4 linked regions of the Caenorhabditis elegans genome follow. The protein of the gene in region 2 interacts with the protein of the main gene of each other region in a pairwise test. Each region holds a gene or a part of one and is shown on either strand. Other genes may lie near its edges. The genes, in order: mig-39, C44B9.2, dyf-3 and inso-1.

The links.
Region 1: the proteins of C44B9.2 (region 2) and mig-39 interact in a two-hybrid assay, tested with the Caenorhabditis elegans proteins (one large-scale study listed by BioGRID).
Region 3: the proteins of C44B9.2 (region 2) and dyf-3 interact in a two-hybrid assay, tested with the Caenorhabditis elegans proteins (one large-scale study listed by BioGRID).
Region 4: the proteins of C44B9.2 (region 2) and inso-1 interact in a two-hybrid assay, tested with the Caenorhabditis elegans proteins (one large-scale study listed by BioGRID).

The regions. Positions count from the first base shown.
Region 1 is NC_003281.10:8,464,948-8,470,495, reverse strand, and holds the start of mig-39 (Zinc finger BED domain-containing protein 39), read right to left. Parts: upstream 3,462-5,548; 5' UTR 3,405-3,461; intron 2,788-3,404; exon of another isoform or gene 2,498-2,787; intron 1-2,497. UniProt on the Caenorhabditis elegans protein: Regulates the timing and orientation of distal tip cell migration during gonadal development. May act in parallel to cacn-1 and Rac GTPases to control the anterior and posterior migration of distal tip cells.
Region 2 is NC_003281.10:10,873,532-10,879,101, forward strand, and holds C44B9.2 (Lgl_C domain-containing protein), read left to right. Parts: upstream 1-1,900; 5' UTR 1,901-1,927; coding exon 1,928-1,950; intron 1,951-2,005; coding exon 2,006-2,122; intron 2,123-2,886; coding exon 2,887-3,050; intron 3,051-3,103; coding exon 3,104-3,621; intron 3,622-3,676; coding exon 3,677-3,886; intron 3,887-4,354; coding exon 4,355-4,483; 3' UTR 4,484-4,711; downstream 4,712-5,570. Other genes in the region: vps-50 (Vps54_N domain-containing protein), read left to right, coding at 740-997; C44B9.3 (C2 domain-containing protein), read right to left, coding at 4,851-5,043, 5,096-5,412.
Region 3 is NC_003282.8:3,396,151-3,401,371, reverse strand, and holds dyf-3 (Clusterin-associated protein 1 homolog), read left to right. Parts: upstream 1-2,248; coding exon 2,249-2,270; intron 2,271-2,470; coding exon 2,471-2,582; intron 2,583-2,673; coding exon 2,674-2,932; intron 2,933-2,988; coding exon 2,989-3,189; intron 3,190-3,634; coding exon 3,635-3,805; intron 3,806-3,851; coding exon 3,852-4,000; intron 4,001-4,049; coding exon 4,050-4,105; intron 4,106-4,153; coding exon 4,154-4,335; intron 4,336-4,658; coding exon 4,659-4,721; downstream 4,722-5,221. Other genes in the region: pdhb-1 (Pyruvate dehydrogenase E1 component subunit beta, mitochondrial), read right to left, coding at 633-763, 1,299-1,484, 1,615-1,684; C04C3.14 (uncharacterized protein), read right to left, coding at 4,839-4,881, 4,930-4,987.
Region 4 is NC_003284.9:1,297,956-1,303,468, forward strand, and holds the start of inso-1 (BTB domain-containing protein), read left to right. Parts: upstream 1-2,193; 5' UTR 2,194-2,320; intron 2,321-5,513. Other genes in the region: dop-4 (Dopamine receptor 4), read left to right, coding at 1-179, 458-703.

The sequences.
Region 1 (5,548 bases), 2.4 Mb from region 2:
TCCATTTCTTTATATATTCATTTGAATTTCTCTATCTGTTCTATCTTCATCTCTATTTAGGCCGATTATGTTTTCAACAAGAAGAGCCCAATGGGGCGGAGTCGAAAAGATGGAGGTGTGTAACACTTAGCAAATTAGAATATGAGAAACTAGAAGAATGCACAGTTAAATGAGAAGATAACCGAGAGTACATCAACAACCGGGTAGAGTGGGATAATCTTTTTCAAGTTGACAACAAGATTTCAACAACCACATCACCTAAGGTAATGAGTTCTCAAGAAAACTGCAGGATGCTGAGTATTTACAAGGAGAAACTGATTGAGGTTTTGGAGGATATATAGGTAAGTGATGTTAGGAAATTACTACTGCACCCGATTGATAATTTTTAAAAGGGTTTATTTTGAAGATATCAATAAACATTCCGACAGAAAAAGATTTTAAAATTATTTCTTCAGTACATTTTAAAATATTCCATAACGTTTTTTTGGATGGAAGATGTAATAATTTTTCATACCTTGTGTCAACACTTCTGCCTAACTGTAAGTGGCCACGCGATGGGCAGGCAGGCATAAAGAAATGCTTGCCTACCATAGATGCCTTCTATTACTGATTTTCTTCCACTATTTCCTAACTATTGTGCAGTTTGATAAGATTTTATGATTCAATAACTCTCCAAAAACTGCAAAGCGGATAACTAGGATTACCTGTAGGCTTTTCTTTAGATTGATATTTGTTGAAAAATAAAACTAAAGTTGAAAATGAAATTCAATTCCATTATACTTTAGAAACATAATATTTCAATTTAGAAGTTGGTAGTTTTCAACATTCAATTAAACTTTTTGATTGTGATAGCAAAACAATTTCAAAGACTGGAAAAAAATTCAAAATGGAAATGCCAAAATTAGGAATATGGTTAGATAAATTACGGATTTTCAAAAAATTATTTTAGCGCAGTTCACAAATTGAGCATTTGAAATACTCTTGGTGATTTGACGGTCTCTCCGCAGTTTAAAACACAGGGATATTTTTATTGAATATTAAAATCGAGTCTTACCATAAGTTTAAAAACCGTGTGTGACGTCACACTTATCAAGAAAATATGCTTGTAGAACATAGAATATGATAGTCTAAGAGTTTTTGAAATTTCTTGATAGATGTTAATATATGACAAATACTGTTATTCACAGCAAAAATAATAAAAACAATAAATTATCCTATAGGTAATAAAAATTGGAATACCACTCTTCAAAATTACTATTTCATTTTTTCTTATACCCAAAAGATAATCTTTGTTTTCAATACTAAAATGAAACGATAATACCGGTGAGTTATATCTATATCTACCTAGAATGTTAAAAACACGGTTGAAAAAAACCCGACGGCTCGAGGAGCTGCTGGCTTATCAGTAAGCTACTTGGCTGTACGCGAGAGGATGACGACGGATTCTAGATGAAAGAAGAAGAGGTGATCGGCGTGTGTCCAAGAGCCGATTTTGCGACGGATTTTGGGGAAATGGGAATGAAAGGGAAAAAGAAAAATGAAGAATTATTTGAATATCTTGATTTGATTTATTTTGGTTTTGCGTGGTAGAAACCCTTGATTTTTGATAATAGAGGAAGTTTTCAAAGAATAAATAATTTGAAAGTTCAATAAGACTTTTAAATGCTTAAAAGTAGAGGAGCACTAAAGAGAAAAGTGTTTATTTAAACTGAAAGAAAAATATCATAACATTTTTTGAAAATTTTTTCATTTTAGTCAATCAATGGCGATTGCAAAGTTTTTGCTACTGATAAACCTAGAAGTCATTCAAAAATGCAACAATACTCTGAATTTCTCAAAAATCTGAAACTAGATAATTTGGACATTTACCAAGGCCTTGGCATAAAATTTACAAAAATCTTACAACTTTTGGAGTGTTTAATTATGATGTTTGGTTATCTCAAAGGACTTCGTGGTATTATTTACAGGTTGTGTAAAAATTGGGAAAATAATTGAATAAGAGCAAAATGGATTTGAAAAGTAATATGCAACGGTTCAGAAACCATACATATTTAGGAGGATCTTGAATTCTGTCTCGGCCCCCTCCCACCAAAATACGCATAAAAAAGATATGAATCTACCCCAGAAGACGCCAAAAAGAAGTGGGCTATCTCAACTTGTTCGGCCACAACTTCACTGTTCATTTCGAAACCTAAACTGTTTTATTTAAATATACGAATGTTCATGAAACCATTCTAGCAGGAGGAGATGGCTGAGACAAGGGCGGTACACAGAAATAATAGTAATGATCGCCAATTTTCGGAAGAGGAAAATACAAAATGAGTCAGCATACATTGTCACAGGACGGCTCTCAAACAGTAGTGATGGGTGATTGAGGAAACGAGAAAAAGAGAGAGAGGAATAAGAGAAAATTGGTGGAAAATTGACTCATATTATACAATGGACGACTCGAACGAAATTTGAGTAAATAAACATGCTCAACCTATTGGAAATTGATATGATCGTAAATTATTGGCAGTTAGAAAAAAAATTCGTTGAAATCGCAAAATTTGATTGAAAAGTTATACGAACACCTGAAGATGAACCTACTATATATGCTAAATGTTATCTATACTCTCCCCATATCCTAAAATCATTTAGCAAAAATTTGGTCTAACAAAACTCAAAAGTGACTCAAATTTTCCCAACACCGAAGTGCTCTTCCTCTTTATTTTTTGCCCATTTCCCCAACTTGCTCTTTCCCCCTCTTTCTCCGTGGTAACCAAAACCAGATGGTTTCATTTGTTCCCAAAAACCATCCGGCCCCTCCGTGTCTTTTCATCAATAGACCTCCTAAAAACTCTTTGGGTGTAAAGTGTTCGTGGATTCTCATCAACTGGTGGGACCTACAAAGATTTCGAGAGCCACTTATTGCTAAATTGAATGATAGAAGAACAATGTGCGAGTTATGGAAAATGAATTGGAAGGGTTTGGGTTGGAAGATTTTCAGTTTTGACAGTCAATAAATGTTTAAATCTAAATTGTATATTGAAACATTTTTAACTGGTAAAGTGTAATAAAAACAAAATATCATATTTTGTAAAAAGAAAACCTAAAGCTATCCGAAATTTTTGAATAATCTCAGTGGGTCAGTGGGTAAATAAGTATACCAAAATTTCTTTCATAAAACCTTTGAAAGTTGATAAATTCGAAAACTCTTACTTTTCTCTAAAAATAAATAACAATAAACTGTCAGGTACTGAGTGAAATGTGGAGCGCGAATCGCCCATAAAACACTCACAAATACCATTCCTTCTTTTTTCCTTCTTCTCTCAATATTTACTAAACATCATCATAACTATATAGATATTTTCTGACTTGGTTTTATAGTATACACACTATTCTAGTTTTTAGGTTTAACTTACGTTTTTCGGGTTTTCCTGGGATTTGTGCAATGATCTCAGCAATTGTGGCAATAGTACCTGAAAATTGGTCTTGATTCTAATTTAAAAAAATTTAAATTAGTAAAGAAATAAAACAAATGAAATCTCATGTCCCATGGGGAAAATTTGGGCGGCTATCGGGATCTACAAAACCTAAAAGAAACCACAAAAAAATATGAATTTATTTGGAAATGAGGGCTTCGTCTTTCGGTGGTGAAGGAAATGCCGCAAATTTATGGGTTACTCTTTTTTGTGTTTCTCTGGATTTTTGAGAAAAAATGCTTCACACAGGGATATTGGGATGAGCAAAAAAGGGCGTTGCGACAAAAAACCCGAAGAAGGAAAAGACAAATGGTCGAAGGACATGGATATGAGAATAGGTGAATGGATATGTTTTTGAGAAGGAATTGAGGTATTTTGGAGATGCTGGTAATAGAACGTTTGGGTTAAAAAACTGAATTTCTTTCAATTTAATAAGATTTGATAATACTGAATGATATGGACTATTTGAAGCATGTAGCTGAAATGAGCATCTAGAAGTCTACGATTTCAGATTCACTGAAGTCATGTAGGGTCCGGTTAATCTTTTGTAGAACCCAATTCAGATTTTAAAATGCTGGTTACTACGACTTCCCGTAAAATTAATAATTAAGAATTTCCAACGAATCGAATTGGCAGAAAATCGACCAGACAAGTTGTGGATACCTTTTCTGTGGCCCTGATAGGTACCTGGTTTTACAGAAAAAAGTTTTACTTAAACAAAAATGAAACTTGGATTCCACCAGTACCCACCCAAGTAGTATTTATACGCGACCTACAAGAAGAAGCTACTACGGTAAGCCAATCGGGAATAAGTGAGACAAGAGATGTAATCACAGAGAGAGTTTTGTTTAGGCCTCACAATGATGTCGAAACTAAGAAGGAAGAGTTGTCATAGTGTATAACGAACCTAGGCCATCAATCATACTCACACACCATAAACGCTGGACTCTCCCCATCTTCAGGCTCGTGTATCCGAGTCGCATCCCCCTAAGGAGCATCAGGTGCTCTTACCCATCAAAACGACATAATCCATCAAAAATTGGCGCGCGCTCATGTTGAAGCCCGAGTCGAGCTGAGCTCTTTAAGAGGAGCCGCTGGCTCGTTTGTTGCAAAACAAACGAAGGGACAATACGGGTTTTGGGTATGGGATAACACAACACTTGGGACACATTCTCAAAATATTCGTCGAGTTTTAAGGTTTCTCTATTGTTAGGTCCTTACAAAAATAAATTGAAAAAATCTAAAAATCAGGAGCAAAGTGCCCAGAGGGCATCGTCCATCTCATTTTGAGTTACGAGTACTACTCTCAAAATTTCCGGATCCAAGAAATAAGGGCAAACCTTTCTCCAGTCCCATGGGTCATATAATTTTTGCCAAACATTTAGCAATGATAGACGGGATGCTTCTGGTGGTGGTTTTTTGAAGGGTTGCATGAAGTTTTGACCTGGTAGAGGTTAAGGTGGCATCAGGGAAATATATATATTGTGGTAAAGCCCCAGCAGGCATAACTTTTAATCAGTTTTTATCTTTTTTACGACCACCCAAGTGAGAAACAAATATGAACTGTGTGGTTCATTTAGTTATCTAGATCATACTAAACTGTATTAAATTCTTCTTTTAAAGGTTACAACGGGAACAAAGCTGGACAACTGCTTTTTACTAGTTTCAAAATCACGGCAGTCACGAATATGAACATTTCACATTTCTAAACAAAGTTCTAGAATACCAACATTCCTCATAGTTTTTCTCTCTCAAAACTTTCACCGGTTGCTCACAACTCAATATCCAATATGTTTTGGGATGGTCAAAAAAGAAAAGGAAGAAGCGACGAATCAATTGAAACAAAAAGTGGTTGTTGTTATTTCTCAATATTCGAGAGGTAAACCTTCTTCTGATGTGCTATACAATTGATGACGTGGCAGGTGACTCTTCTACCTCCTTTCAAAACGGTAGGACAGCTAATAATAGAAGCATCTGACGAGAAGGAGGAGGCGGTGATGGAACAAACGAACGAAAAATTGGAAAACTGAGAAAAAATAAAAAGTACAGAGAGGAGCGAAAAATGCGGGAAAATAGGAGGAAGC
Region 2 (5,570 bases):
GAATTGAATACATCCGACAAACCGGCAAATTGTCGGTATTAAAAACTTCCGGCAAATCGGCGAATTGTCGCAATTGAATACATCCGGCAAATCGGCAAATGGGCAAAATGTCGGAATTAAAAACTTCCGGCAAATAGGAAAATTGCCGGAATTGAAGACTTTCGGCAAAGCGGCGAGTTGTCGAAATTAAAAACTTCCGGCAAATCGGCGAATTGTCGGAATTGAACACATCCGGCAAATCGGCGAATTGTCGGAATTGAATACATCCGGCAAATCGGCAAATCGGCAAATTGTCGGAATGGTAAACTTGCGGCAAATCGGGAAATTTCCGAATTGAAGACTTTCGGCAAAGCGACAAATCGGCAAATTGCCGGAATTGAAGACTTTCGGCAAAGCGGCAAATCGGCAAATTGTCGGAATGGTAAACTTCCGGAAAATAGGAAAATAGCCGGAATTGAAGACTTTTGGCAAAGCGGCAAATCGGCAAATTGTCGGAATGGTAAACTACCGGCAAATCGGCAAATCGGCAAATTTCCGGAATCGAATACACCCGGCAAACCGGCAATTTTCCGGAATAGAAAACATCCGGCAAATTGCCGGAATTGAATACATCCGGCAAACCGGCAACTTGCCGAATTCTACGACAAAAAATTTGCCGAAGGGCAATTACCGCCCAAAAACTAGGAAAATATTATTGAAAAATCGTTTCGAGACCCGAAAAATTCCAGTATTTTTTCAGCTGGAGCCCCTCTGCGGAATCAAGCCAGTTCCTCACGCGAGTTTCGTCGATGGATACATCAAAGCCTATTATCTGCCGGAAAATGGTCTAGAACAGTGGATAAAGACGCATTCTGTACGGGGTTTTTCCAATTTAATAAATTATTTTCCCGAAATTTTGCAGGAATACTCATCAAAGCAGCTGTCTTCTCTACTCGGTGCCGCAGCTCACGTGAGCAAAAAAGCCCGACTTCGGATATTGGACGCTTTGAAAGACTAGAATTTTATGTAGAAATAGTTTGATATAATTGTATATTTTGTCACTAATTTATTAATTTATTTTGCATTTTTTTTCTTTTCAGAAAATTGAAATTTCGACAAAAATTGGGTTCTTTTCGCGATTGAAAATTTGAGAAAAATGGAAAATTTGAATCTGCGCCTTTAAAACTACCGTACCCACTGCCACAGTTTTAAAGGCGCATCCTGTTCCAGAAATCGCGACGAGACCCAATTTTTGCATTAATTATTGATTTGAAATCTTTTCATGTCATCATCTCTGTCCTCATAATCAATAAATTTTTAATACAACAAAAAACCCGATTTTTTATCACGGTCTCGACACGACAAATTTTTGCTCATTTAAAAAAGTGTGCACCTTTAAAGGGTACTGTAGTTTCAAACTCCTAGGAATTTTTATTGATTTTTCAAAGTTTTCCGATTAAATTATATTTATTTGATGAATTTAAAACATTATTATGAAAAAATAAACAGAAAAATGAAAGTTTGAAACTACAGTATCCTTTAAAGGCGCACACATTTTTGCAATAAACAAATCCATCGTGTCGAGACCTGGTACCGTATTTTGGCGCCTTTAAAACTACCGTACCCACGACCTCGTAAAATTTTCAGTAGGCATATTTTCGTGGTGAGACCCAAAATTTTCAAATTTTATTTCTAGAGTTTAAAGGGATAAATCGCGACGAGACCCAATTTTTGCGCAAAATTTTTATTTGAAAAACGAGATTTTTTTCAATTTTGAATTATTTTTTCCAAAAAAAAATAAAAGCACGTGAAGATTAATCCACAAAATTTAACAAAAAAAAAAGGTACGTGGCACGCCACGTGGCGAAACGTAACATAGTCCAACTCAGAGAATCAGAGACGAAAAAAAATCGGAAAATTCAGTACGACGAATCTCCGGCAAGCCAAAATGACGTTGCGAAACCAGAAAGGGTGAGTTGGAGCATTTTTTGATTGTGAGCTCTCTGCTGACAAATCCGTGTTTCAGAGATTCTGTGACGCCTCAACGACGTGCAACAGCTGCTCCGGGAGCTCCATCTCAACAACTCAAAATGGCGGAGAAAACGACGGCACCGTTCGCTGTGATGTCTGTGGAACTTCCGCCGTTAGTTTTTTTTTCGGATTTTTTTAAGAGGAAATCCCAGAAAATTGTGAAGAAATTTCACTTTATGCTAGTAAAATCTGGAAATTTTCTTCAAAATCTGGCTGGAATACAGGTTTTGCCACGTGGCCGCGAAATGAGAAAGTTCGGCCACCGATTACTTTTTTCGCGGCCACGTTTTCGCTCTCAGATTTTTCACCATTTGTGAAAAGAAAACCCCGAAAAATTGGCTTTTTCATAGCGAAATAACTGGAAAATTTTAGAAAAAGCCAGGAATCCACGTGGAAATCTAAATTTTTGGAGTTTTTGTATAGGCTGCCACGTGGCCGTGAAATGCGGAACCTAGGCCATCCCTGCACAAATGGATGAAAAATCGGCTTTATCGAAAAATTAAAGAAATTACAGTTATAGAAAAAAGTGTAAATCTGGAAATTTTAAGAAAACTAGGCCACCGATAACTTTTTCGCGGCCACGTTATTTTTTTCCGGAAGGGCATTCAGGTATTGCTGCATGGCCGTGAAATGCGAAAACTAGGCCACGCAGCGAATTCTGAAAAAATGCACCTCAGATCCTGGAAAACAGAGTGATGGCCGTCATAAATTGGGTTTCTCGGCCATATTTTTGAAATTTTGCTCATAAAACTTCCAAATTCGGCGAAATGCGATTTTTTCAAGACATTTCGCAAATTTTCTGGAATTTTTAAAGCAAAATTCCGCTCAGACTACTTAAAACCACCAATTTTTTTTCAAAATTTCCAAAATTTGCAGAGGTCTTCCACGAGTCAACAACTCGGTATTCGATGACTTATCGCCACCAGCTCACATTCCATTCAGTGGATGGAAACAGTCAAGTGGAAGCAACAACAGTGGAAAGAAGAATCAGAGAAAGTCGACACCTCGGAAACAGGAAAATTCTTCTGCTTCTAGGCAAGGTGAGTAGTTTGTAGTCTTCTAGTAGATCAAAAGTAACCTTAAAATTGTTCAGGAACTATTCCGAATCCAAATCTAAAGTTCTTCCAACTGGTCAGCCCATTGCCATTTGCAACCAATTCAGTCCCAATTAGAGGAATCAAGACAGATCAGGGTGTTGTCAAGTATCCACTGCTCCTTTGCTCCCAGGAAGGAACTGTGATGGTATCCATGGCCGCCGGAATAATCGTCGAACTGTGTATGGATCGCAGTTTTCGTGTCGTCTGCAACACGGATTTCATGGCCTACATCAACTCGAATGGTGCCGTCTGCAGTTTTCTTCACAAATATGCAAAGATTGTGCATCAAAAGGAGCATGTTCACTGCAAATTCCTGAATACAAATGATCGAATGGCTGTGATGGGACCAGAAGGAATTCTATTCAGTATGGACTCACTCACAGAAGCCTATCTTTTGAGTGGAGCCAAAGAATCTGGACCTTCGGCGGTGGTTCTTGAGAAACCAGAGTTTCCGATCATGAATATGGATTATACCATTCAACAAATGTATGGAGAATCTGATCTTGGAGCAAGTGTAAGTTAAAATTAAAGCATTCTTTCAACTTGAATTAAATTCTTTTTTCTTTCAGAATATGGAAAAGTGCGAAGCTGTAATGCAGCAAGCTCAATACGAAAAGCACCCGGATGGACTCCTCACTGTGCATATCAACGGGATGCTTCTCAAGTACAACACTCAATCGGGAGAGGTGAATGTGGAGGCAAAACCAGTGAAGCTTACCGTCAATGCGACAACTCTCACGGCTCAGCTCAGAAGCGCTTTTATTGATATGGCTATTCAGGTAAGAAATTGATTTAATTAAGAAAAAAAATATATACGGTCAAAAAGTTTTCAAATTTTAATGAAAATCTAGTTTTTTGCTGTAATTTGCCTGAATCTGTTCGAAACCCAATTTTTTGTGCAGTTTTGGGTTCAAACTAGCACTGGGCTTAGAATTTTTGCTGAAAGTTGATGAAAAATTATTAATTTCGACAAAAATCGGATTTAAAATCGAAAAATTATGTGAAAAACGAGAAAATCGAAGAAAAACATTTGAAAACAATTAACAAAAATGTTTGGCGGGCTACGGTAGTTTTAAAGGCGCATGGCCGGGGATGAGCAACTTCCTTATGAGACCCGACTGCAAATATTCCGCTGTGCGCCTTTAAGATTACCGTAGCCAGCTTTTTTTTGCAATTTTTTTGACAGAAAATCAATAAAATCGAAAAAAAAAGTTAAAATAAACCGAAAAAAATAAATTTTCTTTCAGGACAAGGACAAATGCTACGTGAAGCGAGGCGAGAAACGAATTCACACATCCCGCTCGGGTATGGTGATCTCCGACGGCACCTGTACAATTTCCATGGACCAATTCGGCTGCATTCTTTCATGTTCATAAGTAACTCCCCGTCTGTTTTATTCCTAATATTTTTATTGTTTTATTATTTCCCAAGTTCCCCCCCCCCCCCCCCCCAGTATTATTAATTCCCTTAAGTTCTCCATTGAGACTCCAGCATACACCTAACTTTTATCCCATTATTCCTCGAATCATTGGGCCAAGAAAACCGCTACTGAGCCGGTAATTTATTTATTACATAAATCATAAAAAATAAAAATTTTAGTTTAATTTACGATGAACATACATCAAATGAGCAGTATTATATCACAAGAAGAATACAAATTAGAGATCTGATTAAATTTTGTGGCAAAAAAAATTAGAATTTTATGAAAACTGTTGGGAGAAATTTTAAAAAATTAAAAAATTATTATAGTGACGCATTTCCGGAATCACTTGATTCGTCGTCCTCCCGATGTGTAACTTTATAGACACATGTCGTCTCTCTTGGTGGATTATATGTTGAATCAATATTAAATGGTTGGAATGATGACCATGGTTCACATCCGTATTCTGTCCAACGTTCTGATGATGATTTTGTGGTGAAGAGGCCCGTGTCGCTACTGAAAATTGATTTTTTTCGATTTTTGAATCTAAATATGTGAATTTCCTTACCTCCTCCCGCCAAGTACAGTACTATTTGCCTGTGGCAATGGCATATCAAAGAACTCAGGCTTCTTTCGATCACTAATATACACACAGAGGAGTACGGTAGTCGATGTGAGAGCCAGCAAAGAGAAAAACGCAAGAATGAGCATTCCGATGAGCAATGAGGTGTTGTTCGAAGTTCCGAAAAATGGAGAAAACGTGGTGGATGGTGGTGCTGGGGTTACTGTAGTTGTAGTAGTTGTTTGTGAATCATCTACACACCATGGGCATACTGTATTGGATGCTTGAACTTTGACGGTTGACATGAAGCATTGACCTTGGATCTGGAAATTTTGGGGATTTTGGAACAAAATTAGACTTAAAATTCAATTTTTAATGGGGTTTTTAGCAAGAAGGTTCGAAATAAAATAAAAATATTCAATTAAATATCAAAATCTTGTTTTTCTATTCGAATTTTTGTGAATTTTGCAAAAAAAAGGCG
Region 3 (5,221 bases), on a different chromosome or scaffold from region 2:
CGTTTTCAAATGTTTCTTCAATGATTTTATAAATATCATTTTCTCCGGTATTTTTCTTGGAAAAGCGGTGTTTTCAGAAAAAAAAACAAGAAAAAAAAACTTTAAAAGTTATAAATTCCCTATATTTTCTCAGTTTTGGACCGATTTTCCGAAAAAAAATTTCCAATTTCTGATAAAATTCACTGATCAGAAAGTGTTCAGTGATAAGAATTCTTATCAGTTGATGATTTTTACAAATTTTTTCTTATCAAAATGGCGTGAGACCATGTGAAAAACATGATTTTTCAGCATAAATTCAACGAAAATGGCTGAAAAAATGAAATTTTCAGTGAAAAGTCGAGAAAAATCGGATTTTAAAGCTAAAATCAGCTCTGTTGAGGTAAAATTTGTGTAGAAATTTCAGAAAAACCCTGATTTTCAGTCAAAAATCTAGAAAAATCGCATTTTTTGTATCAGAAATTGACTTTTTCCTGAAAAATCAGTGTAAACCGAGGAATTTCGTTCTAAAAATAGCAGAAAGCGTGATTTCTCACGAATTAGTCAAAAATTTGGTGAAAATCTTCAATTTTTCGGCTATTTTTTCGCTGAAAATCGCAATTTCCAGAAAACGTGGCACATTGCCAAGACCGTACCCTTCCGGCGGACATATAATATGTTTTTGCGGCTGAATTAATAATCTGATCGATGGCTTGCATGGAAAAATTGAATGTCATGAACTCGCAAATTGGACGGAGCCCGGCGAAGGCAGCACCGACGGCGATTCCTGAAAAAAATGTGATTTTTTTGGAGGAATTTTCAGTTTTTTCTGAAAAAATTTTGCTAAAAATTGAATAAATCGAGAAAAATGCGAAAATTCGAGCTTTTTAGACAATTTTTGCTGAAAAATTGAATTTGCGCGGTCTTAGAGCTTTTCTGCAAATAACATTGGGAAAAATCTGATTTTTATATAAAAAATGTGATTTTTCAGCTTAATTTTCGACAAAATTTTGATAAAACCGGAATTTTCTGCGAAAAATATCAAAACTCCGTAATTTCCGAGCTTTTTGCAGTGAATATTGAAATTTTCAATAAAAAATGCCGAAAATTAATTGTTTTTAGGAAAATTTCCGAAATTTGTTCGAAAAATCCAATTTTTAGTGTAAAAACTGAACTTTTGAGAGAAAAGATCCAAAATTAAAGTAAATTTGGACACTTTCTTTTCGAAAAAATGGTGCTGTTTTTGGGGATTTATTAGTGATTTTGACGTTCCGAGTCAACATTTCTCGATTTTTCTCGATTTCCAGCGTGATTTCCCGTACCAGCGAATCCCATTTCAGTAATTGGAGTGTCGACGACTCGCTTATCACCGTGCTTCTTCCACAATCCCTTGGAAATCTTGTAAGCTCCGTCGTACTGAGCAACTTCTTCTCCCATCAGGAAAACTCGGTCGTCACGTTTGATTTCCTCGTCCATAGCCTGATTTAGGGCGTCACGGACGGTCATTGCTGAAAAAATTGGCGATTTTTATGCTTTTTTAGGTTAAAATTCGTTTTTTCCGTTCAATTCTTCATTTTTAGCCGGTAATCAGCGATTTTTTCGTTTTTTTTCCATTCATTTTTTGCAATTTCTACTCACTGGAAGCCGCTCTGGTCGAGGTGCCAGCGAGACGAGCCACGAACAGGTTTCCACACTTTCTCAGAGCCATTTCGACCGGGGATTACCTGAAAAACCGGAAATTAATTGAAATTTTGAGGCTTTTGCCGGAAATTTTGAGAAAAATAGAGAAAAACTAGGATTTTTTAAAAAATTTAGGTATTTTGATTCAAAATTCTCACATTTTCATTAGTTTTTCTGCTGAGCATATTGTTTTAATGCTAAAAACTCAAAATTTAGACCAAAACCCTTCCAAATAGAATTTTACTGGTTTCTAGGGTTTTTCACTACGATTTTTCACATTTTCACCACTAAAACAGGCGGAAATCGATAATTTAAACCATATTTCCCCCGATTTTAATAAAAAATCAATGAAAGATGCGCAAAAAAGCAAACAAAACTCGGAGAAAATGCGCGCGGCGCTCCTCTCGAAAAATGTGTGCAATATGGCGTCGCGGTGTTTGCGTACAAAACGCCGGTTGAGCTGCAGAAGCTCGTCGACCGTAGTCTTTGGGGTGTTTGCAGGGAGTTTCTATGGGAACGGAGGAAATATTGAATGGGGGAATAGGCAGGCAATTGTTGAGAAGAGAAGTTTCAATTGAATTCTGCACGAAAAATGTCGTATCGTGAGCTGAGAAGTAAGTTTTTAAGGCTTTTTTAATTTTAAATTTGAACTTTGAGATTTTCATATGGAAAAAATAAGTGTTGCATTAAAATCTAGGTGAGAAATGTTTCTAAACCATAAAACGCAAAAAAAAGACCCAAAATACACTTAAAATTGAATTTTACAAAATCATGGCCGAGTTCGGATTCTAGTCCCAAATTTCGCCAACTTCAGACCTGTGTGAGATGACGCGAAGCCTCCGATACCCTCGCTTGATGTCAATTGAGAATTTCCGGACCCCAAATTTTCAGCTGGTGGCTGAATTGCTGGAATGGATCGTGAAAAAGTTAGTTTCCCAGTGAAAAAAATCGTTGGCCGAAAAATATAGAAACTTTGGCCACTAACTTCCAAGCCTACTCTAAGCCCAAAAATTCCAGATTTGAGCCCGAATCCAACCTTGACGCACACGAAGTCCAAACAGAAGCTGATCGGGTCGCTTTCATCAAGAACGCGGTACTCCTGATGCTCCAAAATTCGAGAATCAAGATGAATCCAAAAAAGTTGTACCAGGCTGATGGTCATGCGGTGCAGGAACTCCTACCGGCCATGAAGATCCTCTACCAGGCCAAGGCAGAGGACCCGAACACTGATAACTCGCCAAAATGGACCCAAGTCAAGAATAAGCTCTCGTCGAAGGTGGGTCTCACAGGCCACCAGCCTGAAAAAGCCTGAAAAAACTGTCGAAAGTTCAGATGCAGGAGGTCCGAATCACTCGTCAGCTATCATCACAACTCCCGGAAACAGGTGCCCTGCTCAGTGAGCTGCTGTCCCGGCAGGAGTTCATATCTCAGCAACACGAGAGAGCCGCGTCACGGGCGGTACCACTTGCTGAGGCCGAGAAGGTGCTGCAGGCAACAGTGCAGAACATCGCTCAGGAGACTGAGCAGCTATCGGTAAGCTTGACGGGTCACGGAGCTCCTGGTGGCGTAGGTTTGAGCTCTGGCGTCTTAGAGTTTGAGAGATTGGCCTGGCTCGATCCTGATTGTGAAGCGGACAGTAAAAAGCTTGGACTTCTTCTAATGGCGTGGGCTTGGTCAAAGAGTGACTTGAACTTTGATTCAGACTTTGAAGCTTCATTACCTGAACTCTAGTGGTATATGCAGGGCTTCAAGCCACTAGACCGGGCCTGTGCATCTTCTCCAGAAGCTCAGAGACCCCTAGCCTCGAGGAGTCCGCTGAGGATCTTGGAGCTGAAGGAATAGACTGAATTAGCCTAACTGGCTTGAAGCAACACCCACTCCACTCGAACCCACGTGATTGTTCTTAAAGCCCGGAGGGTCTGAGTCACTTACAATTAGGTTAGGTGCAGGCTCCCCAGCTAACCTCTCAAATTTTCAGAACAAGCTGAACAACGTGGCCAGCGATGAGGCAGAGCTCGACGAGAAGATAGAGCGAAAGAAGCGAGAGTACGAGCAGTTGCAAAAAAGATTCGCAAAGCTACAGTCCTTCCGACCTCAGTATATGGACGAGTACGAGCGGTTTGAGGAGCGACTGAAGAAACTTTATGAGGTAAGACACCGGATACCGAGCTGCCCTGTGAAGCCTAAGCTTCCAGGTCTACGTGCTGAACTTCCGCAACCTGTCCTATCTGCGAAAAGTTCATGATGACTTGGCGAGGTCCGAGCGGCAACGGCAGGAGGAGCTGGAGAAGGCGATGAGGATGGCCGTTGAGAAAATGCGGCTGGAGCAGGAGAAGAAGGATGCGTGAGTTTTCATGGAAGTTTAGAACTTCCGACTGACATCCTTATTTCAGCATCGGACTCCACGACGACGACGGCTCCGACGCCCCCTTGGTGGACAGGAGGCAGTGTAAGTGTTAAGTTCTATCAGCTCCACAGGTTTATTAACCATTTCCAGCTGTTCGCAAGGTGTACGGTAACATGATGGGTGGTGATGCCTCTGATGATGATGAGGACGATGAGGATGACGAGGATGATGAGATCATCAGGATGGATGATAATGTCGCGCAGCATCACAAGAGAGAACTTCATCGGCAGGAGGAGGATGAGGAGAGAAGCGAGGCGGATTATATGGTCGGGGTGAGTGATAAGGTGCTTGGGAGGGTAGATGATCGTCTCCTCATGGTCAGGTGGATTTAGCTGCTAGATCTTTGGAAGTTCAGAAACTTCCACTAGGATGCGTTGTGACGTCACATTTTTTACAAATGCCTCCTGTGACGGCAACCTACCGTACCCCGCAGACAGGCCAACAACACCCTGTCGGTGTATGAGCTTCAGAAAAAAGGCTGTGACGTCACTCCAGTGAAAATTAAGTTTCCCGCGATTTCTGGCCTTAAGCTTTGCCTGGTCGTAATCTAAACCAGAAGCGCGTACCCGTGGAAACTAAAATTATCGATTTTCAGATCACCACCGCCCACGTGGCCGACGACGCGAAAAGCGACTTGAGCAGTGGAGACGACTTCTGAGCTTCTTCTTGTGTTTTTTTTGCAAAACCCTTAAGTTTTTATTAACCCCAGAAAATAAATGCACCTTTTTATTACATATTTACAATTCAACAAAACAATTAGAGATCGTCAAAAAATTCAAAAAAGCATAACGGCAATCTCGGCGGGATCCACTCGGTACCTAAAACTCGAGGTTTTACTATTACTACTAGGTGATGACGTGGAATACGTTGCGGTCGACGATGCCGATTGAGAGTACTGTGGAGGAGATGAGCTTGAGCCATAACCTGGAAATATATTTTAGGTTATTGCAGAAAAATAGTTTTTAAAAAACTACAATTTTTTGTGAAAATTCCACAAAATTTCTGATTTTTCTGATTTTTTTTCAGAAACTTTCTGGCCAAAAATTACAAAAAACCCAAATGGAATTCTGAAAATTTTTGAAATTTCAGATTTTTTTAGCCAAACAACTCGGAAGATCCCAGAAAAGTTCTCAGGCAAAAAAATCGGAAAATCTTAAA
Region 4 (5,513 bases), on a different chromosome or scaffold from region 2:
TGATGACATCTCCCTTATCAACGCGTCGAAAATTGAATGTTCGAGAAAAATCGCGCCAAATGATGCGCTACGTCCACGAGCAACGTGCAGCTCGGACACTTTCCATTGTGGTCGGAGCATTTATTCTCTGCTGGACACCATTTTTCGTGTTCACTCCGCTCACCGCGTTCTGTGAAAGTGTAAGTGTAGGATTTGATGACCCGCTAGATGTCGGGCATGCAAATTTATGTTTTGGTAAAAAATTTGAACGGTATTCTAGTGAACGAGAGTTTTTAGTTTTTGAGGGGAAGGCGCCTGGTGAACTTTCCGGTTACTTGCAACTTTTTGAAAAATTTCTGAAAAATGCTTTTATCAGAAATTGACAAAGCCCCTACTATGATAAAACTCGACTCACCATTGCTCCAAAAACCAAAAAAAAGCCCACAAATAGCCGCGGCTAATTAAATTTCCGTTTCAGTGTTTCTCCAACAAAGAGACCATCTTCACATTCGTCACATGGGCCGGTCACCTAAACTCAATGCTCAACCCGCTCATCTACTCGCGCTTCTCGCGAGATTTCAGACGGGCATTCAAGCAAATTCTCACGTGTCAACGCCAGCAAAAGGTGAAAACCGCATTTAAAACGCCACTGTCACTCGTGTTCACTCAACTCATCTCGGTCACCCAAATGTGGGAGCAACCGCCGAATACTTCAATTGAATAGTTTTTATTTTGTATTTTTTATTTTTGATTTTTTTTCAATTTGTAATATGAACAGTTTTTTGGAGTACAGCAGAAGCTCGCTCTGAAAAAAAATTTAAAAATTAGAAATTGGTATTTTGAATTCAGCGTGCCAAGATTATTTAAATTCGAGTTGCTTATAAACTTTATATTTTTTTGAAGTTTCTGAAATACAGTGCAGAAGGCTTATTTGTAGGTACAGAAGTGCCTGCCTGCCTTTTTCAGTAATTTTTATTTTGGAAAATCTTTTAAAATCTTCAAAATCTTCCAGAATGTTTACCTTGTTTCAAAGATCCTGAAAAACATTAAATATGTGCAAAAAAACCACTTGTTCCAAAAGTTTTTCATGAATTTATTTAAAGGTGCCTAAGAATTATCATCGAAAAAAATACGCTCGCAAATTTTTCTCATAATTAACATTTGATCTACCTTTGGAACTTGACTCCGCCGCTAAATTTGTTGCCGTTGTTATTTCGTTGTGGCTGTCTTAACGAAGAGAAAGGAAGAGCCTAGTGAACAAGGTAGATCAAAAATAAATTATGAGAAAAATTTGAACTTTTTGAAAAAAGAAAAAAGCAAAATTTTATCGTATTTTTTCGATAATAGTTAACATTCTGAAAGCCTTTGAAAATTAAAAAAAAGTTTTCACAATCTTCAGCCGCTTTCATCTTCTGAACATAAAAAAAAAACCATAAAAAATCTGCAAAAAGTCATTCTTGGAGCAATGTTACAGACTTTGAAAATGGTGAAAAACTGAGGAATTAGGTAAACGTTTAGGGTCGAACTTCTCATAGTTCAAAGACTTCGTGTACAGTTAATTTTTTTTCTTAACGTGCCGGATAGTTCTCACGGTAGCACAGAAACTAGATGGATTGGTTCATGATACTCAGTCTGGAAACCTATATTGGCTACTATCTCGAAAACCATCACAAAATCGATTTTGCGATGCATATAAGAAATGACCGCAATGAAATTATCTATCTTTATTTGTGATGAATTTTCGATTTTGTACTTCCTGGCCAAGTTATGCACGTTTGTTCGGTGGAGCGCGTTTGCACCCATTTAGCAACTGAACCACCGTGTTCTATTAGGCAGGTGAGCCCGGAATACATACAGAGTTCTGAAGTCAGACCGCTAATTATAATTAACAAGAACAGGTGAAAATGCAAGTACATCCTATAAAGCATGAAAACTATAACAAAAGCTGAGAATTACTTCCTTAGTTTTTGACGATTTTTAGCGAATCTGACAAAATAATATTACAAAAAGGGCCCCCTTCCGATCCAGTGGTTCCAAGTGCCCCCCCCCCCTCCTCCCCAAAAAGGCCATGACGTGACATCTCTAAAAGTGCATATCTTGCGGTTGACTAAACAAAACCCAAGATAAGAAAATTAATTACGCTCTCATTCACAGAGACGTCCATTTAACTGCCTATGAATCATCTTTTCCAGGGCACCGAGATTTTCTTCATTAGCTGAGATTTCCTTTCGGTTCATTATATTGAATTTATTCATCTGATTTGAATTTTCAGTCGGCGTCGTTTCGCCAAAAAATTAGCTAACGAGGTAAAGCAGCTGCTCTGGCCGCGTGCGATTTTCAGGTAAGTTCTTTCAAATTTCAGAAATTTTATCGGATTTTGTTCGCACAACTGGTTTTTGTAAAAAAGTTTTACATATCGATTTTCTTTGGTATCCTTTTGTTGTACATTGTCTACCAATCTGATAGTGAGTAGGTTGAATAAATTTAAAAATAAATTTTAAAGTAATACCTTCAAAAAATTCTTCAAAAAGTTTTATTTATAACTTTGCATATTATGTATGATTTAAATGAATTTTTTCCAATTAAAAAAGTTATATAATCTTAAACTTAGGCTTAGGCTTAGGCTAAGGCTCAGTCTAAAGCTCAGGCTTGGGCTTAAGCGTAGGTTTAGGCTTAGGCTAAAGCCTAGGTCTTGACTTAGGCTTATGCTTTGGCTAAGGCTTTGGCTTAGGCTTAGGCTTAAGCTTGGGCTTAGGCTCAGGCTTAGGCTAGGTTCCCTCCGTTTGTTCTCTGACTAAATTTTTTCCAAAATATTCCAAGTAAACCGGCAATTGTGAGCCAATGAAATTTATTAAAATTGAAGGCACATTTCAATTGTTGTCTCTAAAAAATGAGACTGTAAGGATAGCGTATGGTATATATATCTCACCCACATGGTGTTCTAAGGGCCTTTCGTTTTTATTAGATAATATAATTTTATAAATTGAACATTTTGAGCTTACACGTAAACAACATGAATATTATTAAAAATCTGCAAACATTAGTTTTTGGAGAACTTTTACTTGCCTCAAAAATAGTTGTTAGAAAACCTAAAGTTTCATATTTAATTATTGCCAATCAACAGTGTCAGTATGCAGTTAGAATTAATTTCAAGTCGAATATTTTTTTTGATTTGTCATGTTTTGTCATGTTTCCCTCCAAATGTTGCTCTTTTTCGAAATGTCAATTTCTATCCCCTTCTGCATCTTGCTTTTTTCAATAAATTTCCTTTTTTTCTAGTTCATGATTTGTATGTAAGTTTTTATAGTTTGTTTTTCACTTTGTTTCTGATATATGTAAAGCATGACTATTTGTTACCGGTTTAGATTTATGGAATTTAATTGAACAAATAATAAAAAATTAGGTGAAAAAAGAAAGAAGTATTTTTAGTTGGAATATATTACACTTTGAAAAAATCTAAAAGTTATAAATAGTTGCGGGCTCGAAAAAAAAATTAAGTAATTGAAATTAGGTTCGAAACTAAGGTTACGCATAAAAAACTATAAATTTCACATCTAAAAGGTTTGAAAAATTTACTTCGAAAAAATGTGGAACCTTTTTTTTCCAAATAAATATTCTACTTTTGTCTGAAAACTAAAACTTCAACTTTCTACAAAATTATAATTTGGCTTCTGAAAAAAACTAAACTTTACAGCCTGAAAACTCAAAAGAAACTGCTTTTTTTTTAAATTTAAAAAAAAAAAAGCTTTTCGCCGAATAAAAACTTAAATTTTCTAAAACTTTTCATCACATTTCTGATTTGAAATTATTTTTTCCAAAAAACATGGCAGTTATCTGGTAATTTACGTTTGAAAAGTCTGAAAATGTTTTAACTGAAAAAATTATAGTTTTATATTTTCACTTTAATAAATTTCTAAATAACCGAAAAACTAAAATTCGTAGGTTGGCAAATCCGCGAAAAATTAAAAAGGCACTATATTTCGAATTTTCACGTTTATCACAGAAAAAAAATGTGCAAAGTGTATCAATATTTAAGCAATTCAAATGTTCCGAAAATTTTCATCACTTTTCTGGTTCCGACCTGGTACTGACCGGATATGAAGTATTTTTGGAAATTTTTTCGTTTTTGTCATTTGGAAGTGATCCGCAAAATGATTTAATTCAAACGATGTATCCCGGCAGCAACAGCTCAAAACCTTAGAAATTTCAGATTTTTAAATATGTAGATTTCTTAAAGAGCTAAAATAGTAATCTTCAGTACTAGAGAATTCCTCGAACAAATCCCAAAAAAAATTTAATGAAAAAATGTCAATTGCAATGTAGAACCTCCTAAAGCTATTCCATTATTTTTTTGGAAACATGGGGGGAGAGAGCAAGTGAGAGAAGACGGGGGGAGCACATTCATGCACAAACACACACTCGCACTTGGTTGTTCCTTACCCCCTCACTGTTTCATTTTCTTAAGCCTACATATATACTCTGCGTCTCCCAGCTCTCCCCCAACCGAAGCAGCAGCAGCATCGCCGGGCACCCTATGGCCGTGGACTAGTTCCCCCCATTTCCCGCTTCATATCTCTGCTCGCCCTCTTCCTTCTGTGTGCTCTCTCGGATCCTTACGCAGTAACTGACCATATGGTCAAGTGGTTGGCGGGTGTGCAGTGCTAGTACGATTGTCTTGTCTATTGATTCTTTTTTTTGTCATTCGGAGCTTGGCTGGAATTTTCTGGTTTTTAGGTTTTCAATAACAGCGTTTTATTCTTATGAATTTAAAATTTGCAGTTTTTTCTTTGAATACAACTTTGAAGTTTTCAATTTCACATATATATATATACAATAACTAAAATTATATTTAATTGAGAAAAAATTAAATTTGCTTATTTTTTAATTTACAATATTTCCTGAAAATTGAACTATATACCTATTCCAGTTGAAAAAAAAGCGTAAAATAATATTTTCTTTTTAAAAAAATTCAAACTTTGAAAAATTTATTATAGAGCATTATATTTTGAGTAACAGTATGTAATAATTATTTATAATTTGGTAGCCTGTTAAAACTGATAAAATAAAATAACTTTTAAAAAACCTACTCGAAAAAACATGAAATAATTTTTCCCATTTTTTTTCTACCATTTTGTGGTATTTTTTTCTCGAATTCAATATTGCTGCATCCGTTCCTGTTCAGTTTTTGTTCAATTAATCACACCAAAGCCAATAAATGGGCGGAGTCTAATGAGATAATTTTGTTGAATTTTATTTTAAAATAATAGTCTGGTTTCTATTTCGTAGAATTAAAAATTAATTTTGAGGTTTCAGCGTAAAAAATAACTTGAAATTTTAAAAACCGGAATATTGTGCCAGAAGTGTCCAATATTTAGGCGGAGCCTATTTTAGGGCTGTATTGTTATCCAGAAATTTTTTGAATATTTTTTTTAATGGAACAGATTTTCCTGTAGGCCTTTTTAAAATTTCAAACTATTTTTTGAGCGACTTTGTAGTTTAAAAGTTAAAAAAAGAAACCCACCAACAGCTTGTAG